2 linked regions of the Danio rerio genome follow. The protein of the gene in region 1 purifies or fractionates together with the protein of each later gene. This does not show direct contact. Links are inferred from orthologs where the notes say so. Each region holds a gene or a part of one and is shown in the gene's direction. Other genes may lie near its edges.

What was found.
Region 2: the proteins of etv4 (region 1) and cop1 purify together in Homo sapiens (affinity purification with mass spectrometry; 5 studies listed by BioGRID and IntAct, with this or other methods). This does not show direct contact. The link is inferred for Danio rerio from reciprocal best matches to the Homo sapiens genes ETV4 and COP1.

What each region holds. Positions count from the first base shown.
Region 1 is NC_133187.1:29,382,804-29,387,132, forward strand, and holds the start of etv4 (ETS translocation variant 4), read left to right. Parts: upstream 1-1,376; 5' UTR 1,377-1,483; coding exon 1,484-1,540; intron 1,541-1,627; exon of another isoform or gene 1,628-1,743; intron 1,744-2,102; coding exon 2,103-2,193; intron 2,194-2,506; coding exon 2,507-2,554; intron 2,555-4,329.
Region 2 is NC_133177.1:38,105,244-38,109,076, forward strand, and holds part of cop1 (E3 ubiquitin-protein ligase COP1), read left to right. Parts: coding exon 1-14; intron 15-925; coding exon 926-1,086; intron 1,087-3,833. UniProt on the Homo sapiens protein: E3 ubiquitin-protein ligase that mediates ubiquitination and subsequent proteasomal degradation of target proteins.

The sequences.
Region 1 (4,329 bases):
GTTTGGTGTTAAAAAGCACAAATAGTGTGTTTTTTTAACAGCAACAACCATTTTTACAAGTAAAACCATTCTTTTTAGTCAAGGAGCAAAAAATTTAATTAAATCCTTTTTGTGGCACCCTTATAATCTTAGCTTATTTCCTGTTTGATTAAAGTGATGGCGAATACCGTGTTATTTTAGTAGCACTAACAGTGATTATAGTTCACATTCACCGTGCAGCTGCTCCAAAATGTCCGCACACAGCGCATGAAATGGCCAAATTTAATAGACTACTGTACTGTAAGTAGCCTAACTCAAGTTCCATTACGCTGTTTATACACGCAGTTTACTGTGTATTACAGGACGTCATTGTTTTGCACAGGTTCTTCCGATTCATAATGGAAAGTATGTGTTGCTGTTTGCGCAGTGTACACTCTTTATATACGTATATACAGATATTGCAACCATCCACTCCCGTTCAGAACCCAGCAGCCACCACGTGATGTTTTCGCAAGCTGTATCTGTTGTTAATAGAGCAAACGCTCAAAACAACCATAAAACATTCCTGCTGGGGCAAGTTTTTATGAATGGCATTTTTCCTTCCTCGACTTTCCCCCTTTTTGTGAATGAAAAACAACTGGAAACGTACTAGGGAAAACCCTTGGGATTCTCAAGCGGCGATTGGCTAAAAGAACGCCAGCTCCGCCCTCGGTTGCTAAACCTCGATTGTGATTGGCTGCAAAGAGCAGAGAGGTTTCATTCATAATGAAGGACAAAGAGAAGAAACTTGAGCTATTGAAAGAGAAAATCCACCAATCAAAGTCCTCCAAACTAAGCGAACATCCAACAGCAATAAGAGCAAGCTAAAGTCAGGAGTATAGTTTAAGAAAAGTGCTTATTATTATTTCATTAACCAACCTCTTGTCCACGCATAGCCCTACACACAAACAATCCAAACCAAAATAACAACATGCTTGAAATGGTATTAAACTTAAGCTAAAATTGAAGTGTTAAAGCAGACATATTTAAATTTATCATGACTAAACTAATACAAAAATAAATGTAGGTTATAATACTTTGTATAATATTTATAAAAAAAACTTCAATATAATACATAACAACAATATCGCGTTTTATTGGCTAAAAGAACAGTGACCCTTTCACTAAACCACCATAATCTTATAGCGAACGTGGCATATACATCAGCTAGTTGTCATTCTCCGCAAAATCCTGAGTAAACTCCCAGGACAATAGCTTCTTGGCACAAATGAAGCAAAGAAGAGGTCTCGAGCTGTCCAAACAGTGATTTAGCAGAGCCTAGAGTGTGTGTGTTTATACGCACGCTGGTGGTTTTTTTGTGAATGGAGCTCATTACGTATGCAGCCTTCTCGCGCTCCATTCACAAACTACCGCTGCTGCTGCTGCCTCTGTCCGTCTTCCTTCCCCTCTCAGTCTGCGTGGAGCTCATTAAAACACAGCCTAAATGACCACAAACGGTTAAGGCATGGATTATAAGATGGATGGATATCTGGACCAGCAAGTGCCTTATACTTTAGCTAATGTGAGTATGGCTTTATTCACTTCAAAGCTTTGTTGCGCTTCACGCGGGGATGTTGTGCTGTTTCTCTGTCGTCGTTGCATGTGATTCGTTTTAAGCAAAAGCGCCGTTGCGATCAAAACTGTTTTCAGTTTGGGTCTGAGACAAAGTTAAACTTGCCTAGGAAATACTCTGTTTGTCTTTACGATGTACGCTGTGCTTACAAGGTAAACTTTAATCCTTTCTTTAAACGCAGTTCTGAAAATTGAGCTTGAAAGGAAATCAAAACTTCCCTTTTCGGGATGCTTGGATTGTCAGTATTTGCTGATGTAAAAGGCAATGCTCTGAAACCAGTTTTGATGGTGAATGGGCATCAGCTTATAATATATTTTAGTGAAAATAATTCGCAATGCACTGCATTTTTGTACCTTGTCATAGTGGATTGTAACAGTTACATTTTTAATGTTTATTTTACATGGTTGGGTTATTTAGAGTGAGTTTTAAAATAAAAATCAATCTTCATGATTCTAAAGTCTTCTTCATGAGTATGTATTTTCACTTACATAATGTAGTTTCTGTTTTGTAGAGGTCGCAAGGAAATGGGCCCCTAAATAGACTGTTGATGGCGACAAAAAGGAAATACATGGACGCAGAATTACCCCCTCAGGAATCTGAAGGTAAAATAACAAGCAAGTTTAGAAAATTGTATATTTTTATTTTACATTTACACTTGCTCAATAGTAGCTTAATATTGTCAGTTTTAGGTAAATTTTTTATGTGGACTGTTCCGCTATAATAACATGATTTAGCAAAAACAAACAACATGTAAGACCTATTTTTTTAATAAACAAATGAGCAAGAAAATTATTTTATATATATATATATATATATATATATATATATATATATATATATATATATATATATATATATATATATATATATATATAAGAATATGTCATCAAACTAATTATTTATTTTCCTTTTCAGACCTCTTTCAGGATTTAAGCCAACTTCAGGAGACCTGGCTCACCGAAGGTATGCCTCTATTTTAAGCATGTATTATGTGTCTTTATTGCAATAAATATGTCCCTCTAGCGGCAGTGGGAAAGGAAATATCACATGAAACATGCTATAGCAAGTGCGTATACTTGGTGAGAATTACAAAACAAAACATAAACAACAGAAAGACATTCAGACTGTGGTGGCCTATTTGCAGAGTAAGTCAAACAGCTGTTACAAATCATTCATGTTTTCAGTTTAGAGAGAATAAAAAAAATATTTTTAATAGCCGTGATAGTCCATACAGTAAGATTAATTTAGCCATGCATCAGCACAATTGTCATGTAAACTTATTGTTGCAAATGTGCTGCTTTTGTAAAGTGCACAGAAAAAAAAATTGCCTTGATTGCACAATGTTGCTGGTTACGTTTTATTCGGAAAGTCCTGACAATGGCTCTTAAAGCCAGTACACCCAGGCAAAGCAAACAAACAGCATCAAAGCTGGACAGACAGGAGGCAAATAGTTGAAATGAACCCTGCCAGAAACAATTTACTGTGTACATGTCAGAGTGTGGAGAACACAAAGGCTGCTCTCAATGAGACCGGGTGGCTGGATCCCCGCTGTTCTGAATGAATTATACATCTGTCCCATTCAAAACCCCTATGCAGATTTTACGATAACAATTACGAGGTGAAATAAATGCAGTTTTATAAAAAAAAAACATGTACAAATAATATACAACATTACTTTTGTTTATATTAGTGAAACTCTTGTATGATTTTATTTTATGCTTTATTATAAATTAAAACCGTCTTGCTGTAATTGCATGCACAGAATATGACATATGGCAAATGAAAGAAGCAAAATCTTGAAAAAAATAGCTAACAGTCTTACATTTAGGAATTAATTAATTAAAGAGATAATGCAATAATACTAGGGATGCTCCCATCAGGATTTGAGCCGATATCGAGTACCGATACTATGTCATGGTGATCGGCCGATACCAAGTACAGATTCTGATGCTCTGATGATCTTCTTCGACTTAACCCATAAACAAACACTTGTGATCAGTTTATGAGATCAGCCAGATATGAGAGTACCAATAGAGTCATAACATGTGATTATCGGCTGATACCAATCTCAGGTCGTTCGATTGGAGGATCCCTAAATAAAACTGTAAAAATATTTGCATTATGCATGTTTAATTTCTTAATGTATACATGAAAATCAATTGGATTGATTTGTCCTTCTTTCAAGTAGATCGACTCTTTAATTAAAGTTTTCCTCAAACTATTGTACAGCACCCATTCTTGTCTTAGGACAACTTTTTTGATCCCTTTTAAATATTGACTATATAAAAACAACATTTTTTTTACACCATTTTTTCTTTAAATATTAGGGCAGTTACTCTTGTCTGGGATCCCAGTCATAAGATAAATGCTCTTTATGGGCTTTTTAAAGTGCAACCAGAATAAGAGTTGTCTATAAACTGTCATGCTCATCTGCTATTACTATTAATCTTATTTTGCTTTTTTTTTTTTTGATCCCTTTCAAATGTTAACTATACAAAAACAACAAATATCAGGGCAGTTGCACCTGTCTGTCCCAGTCATAAGTTACAGTTGAAGTCAGAATTATACTAAACCCGTAAATCATAACCTGTTTATTTCTTCCGCAATTTCTGTTTAACGGAGAAAAGATTTTTTTCAACACATTTCAAAACATAATAGTTTTTATAACTGATTTATTTTATCTTTGCTACACTGGCAGTAAATAATATTTGACTAGATATTTTCAAGACACTTCTATA
Region 2 (3,833 bases), on another chromosome or scaffold:
CTATGTAGCATGTGGTGAGTGGCATGATATGACATTAATTAAACAACAGAAAGGTTTGCTTTTGGCATTTTGGTTTATAATCAAAGCTATGATAATGCGATATATAAAGTCAAGGCTGGAATTATTCAAACCCCTGGCAAATTCTCACAAAGTTTTTGTTCAAATGTTTATAAAAGCCACAATAATGCATCTTGTACACAGTCTTATTATCTTTTAGAAGAAGCTTGTGTTATTCCTGGTCAAAAAAATTTAATTGCTGGTTGAATAAAAGTACCTAAGTCAGAATTTGCCAGGGGTATGAATAATTTGACTGTATATTGTTATTATTATTATTATTTTAAAAAATTCCACCAATATTGTAATGAATTATAAAAAAATTAATCTCAGTCTCTGGCCGTCTGATTTTAAGTTGAATAAAAAAAATTTAATAGACATTTAGACTCAGACATTTAGTTTTATTAGCATTTGTTGAAGTTTTCTGTGTTGAAGTAACAAGCAAATAATTGTTTGATAAATTCACAGTTAAAGTAGTTCCAGGCAGGTCTCAAACACATTACAGTTCCACATAACCACATGATTTCAGTTGTTTCATAGTTAAGAACTGTCAAAAACCTGTGATGATGCAGTCTTCAGCTCTGATAATCGTAACATACAATAATTGACACTGGTTTGTTAAATTCAAAGATAATGGCATTGCCACCTTGGGTGTGCAGTATTTTTTTAATTATTCAACATCTGAAAAGATTTTTTTCTTACTTTCACTACTGTAAGTTAGTGCTTTAATCTGATTGGCCAGTAAACAGTTAAAAATGTGTAGTTTTTTTACAGAAATTATACACTGTGGCCGCATCATCACTTCAGGTGTGCATTATTTTCGAATAATTCAATGGCCAAGTAGAAATGCTCTCATTTTATAACCCCGCAGGTAGTGAAAACAACTCGCTGTACTTGTACTACAAAGGCCTTTCCAAGACGCTGCTGACATTCAAGTTTGACACTGTGAAGAGCGTCCTGGACAAGGACAAGAAGGAGGACGACACCAATGAGTTTGTCAGTGCAGTGTGCTGGCGAGCTCTACCTGATGGGGTATGATTCAGTCTTATCTCATTCACATTCAACATGATAAATCACTCTTCTAGAACCAACAGCAGAACAGTAAGAGCCATGAGGGCACATGGGGGCAGTGGAGCTGCATTTGGTGGTACAATGAGGACAAGTAATAGCAGGGTAGTGTAGGACAGTGGGCTGGGGGAAGTTTGGTATGTATCCGCATTCGGATGTCCATGCTTATTAAACCCACGCTCCTCTGTTTCACCATCTGAATAGCATGGATTGCAGTTAACAGTCATGTTTTTTAGAAAGAGGCAAATTCACTGTGAATTTTGTGCACAGTTTAAGCCTCTATATGGGCACGACATGATCTTAGTGACATGATCTTTGTCAAAAGACTGTTCCTCACTACTTTCTCACACTTCATACTTTTATGAATTTCTTTCCTCTGTTGAACACAAATTGAGATATTCTGAAGAATGTCCAGGAGTGAAAAAAGGCCATTGACATCTATAGTTTGAACAAAATGTGCTATGGAAGATTCTTCAGTATATCTTCCTTTGTCTCCAACTGAAGAAAGAAACGGGTTGGAAGCAAGTGGAGGATGAGTAAATCATGGCAGAATTAAAATTTTTGGGTGAACTATCCCTTTAAATTAGGGTGTTTAAGCAGCTTTTATAAAAATGCATTATTTTTATTTGTATAAAAAAAAAATACTGTTGTGCATCTTTAGACAAAACAATTTCAGTGATGTATTTTAAAAACGCAACACAAACAATTTAGGTCTAACCTTTAAGTTTTGTCTATGAAACTTTTTTTCCATACACTTACATTATATACATGATATTTTATTTAAATCTTAAAATATGAAAATTTAAGTGTGTCTCTTTAGGCCACTTTCATTTTGTCAGAGCTCAGCTATAGTAAATGATGCATTATAGCAATATAATATTGATCTATTAGCATTATAGAATATGAGAACGTTGTTATGCAGTAAAATACTTTTCTATCCTAAAATCTTTAGTAATTTTAAGGCAGTCCTATTAAATCTGTGAGCCCTCATTTCACATGATAAAAGACCTTTTAGATTTTGTATGCATTTAATAGATTTTCCCTAAATATATCCCTACATAATATTTGCCATTATGTGAAAAGTATAAACAAAATCTCACTGCATTATAGCGTAATTTATATTACATTAGTGTGTGTGTGTGCGTGCTTATAGATGGATGGATAGATAGATGTTAATTTATTAGCATCATTTTTTGTTACTATTTTGTTTTCTTTTTCATTTCAATACTGTAAATACTCATTTTAATTTTTGAGATTTTTTTCATTTGTTTTTGAAAATATTATTCTGAATGTTATTTAGCTTTATTATTTTTTTTTAGTTTTAGCCAGTTTAGTGCTTCAGTTGAAACTTGTATCAGATAGTTGCCTTGACAACATTCTCTGAGAAATCCCCAGATGATTTGGAGCGCTTGCACAGCTTGGTAGACTTAAAATGTGCTTTTCACACAATTTCTAACATTCTGTCATATAAGATGTATAAATATAGATCACATAATAGCCAATAGAACTGAAAATGCACATTAATTAAGATTTGCACAAAAAAGCACAATAATCGAACCAGGCATATTTAAAAAATATAATTATTCCATAACATATTAAAAGATTCTATTTCGGGAACATGTGGGTCATATGTATACAGTATATGTAGTTTTACACCTATCTTTCAAACCAGTTGGTTTCACTTAGATAATATTTGATCACCTGTTGTTTGATATATTCTAAGATTTATTATATTATATTATATTATATTAAATTATATTATAGTATCTGTTACACGGCTGCATCACTGTGGTGTAGTGGGTAGCATGATCGCTTCATAGCAAGAGGGTCGCTGGTTCAAGCTTCGGCTGAGTTGGTTGGCATTTCTGTATGGAGTTTGCATGTTCTCCCTACGTTTGTGTTGGTTTCCTCCAGGTGCTGCGGTTTCCCCCACAGTCCAAAGACATGCGCAATAGGTCAATTGAATAAGCTAAATTGGCCGTAGTGTATGTGTGTGCAAGAGTGTATGGGTGTTTCCCAGTAATGGGTTGTGGTTGGAAGGGCATCCGCTGCGTAAAACATATGCTGGATAAGTTGGTGGTTCATTCCACTGTGGCGACCCTTGATTAATAAAGGGACTAAGCCATAAAGAAAATGAATGAATTAATGAAATCTGTTACACTGATTGATGTGAAACAGTATTATATATTTTCATAAAATTTATTAGAAATTATTCCATACTTCCATTTTTTTATGCTTTCTGTGTATATAAAGTCACCTTCGTAAATTTAATTTGATGCAGACACCAACATGAAACAGCTTGTCATTGACCCATGCAAGTAAACAACTGTGATCAAACCTAATCAGCTCAGAAATAGATATTTTAAAAAATGCAGATTCATGTTTTGCTTGATTGATCAACTGAAACACCCATGTAAACATTAGCCCAGCTTTCAGATCCCCTTGTGTATTACATGGCTTTATATACTTGACATTTTCCCATAGAAAGAAAACTCAATAATTGTGCGCTAAACCAATATGCTGACCAGACAAAATTTCAGCTTAGAGTCTTGGTCATAATTAATTTCCTTTCTCACCCCTACATAAATTACATGCAAACAAAATGTCAATGTTTTTTGTCTCCATATAATAACATTAAGATATTAAGCCTGGAAATGACCAGGGAAGGTTATGCATGTATTCTATGAGAACCTACATTATTATCGAGATTA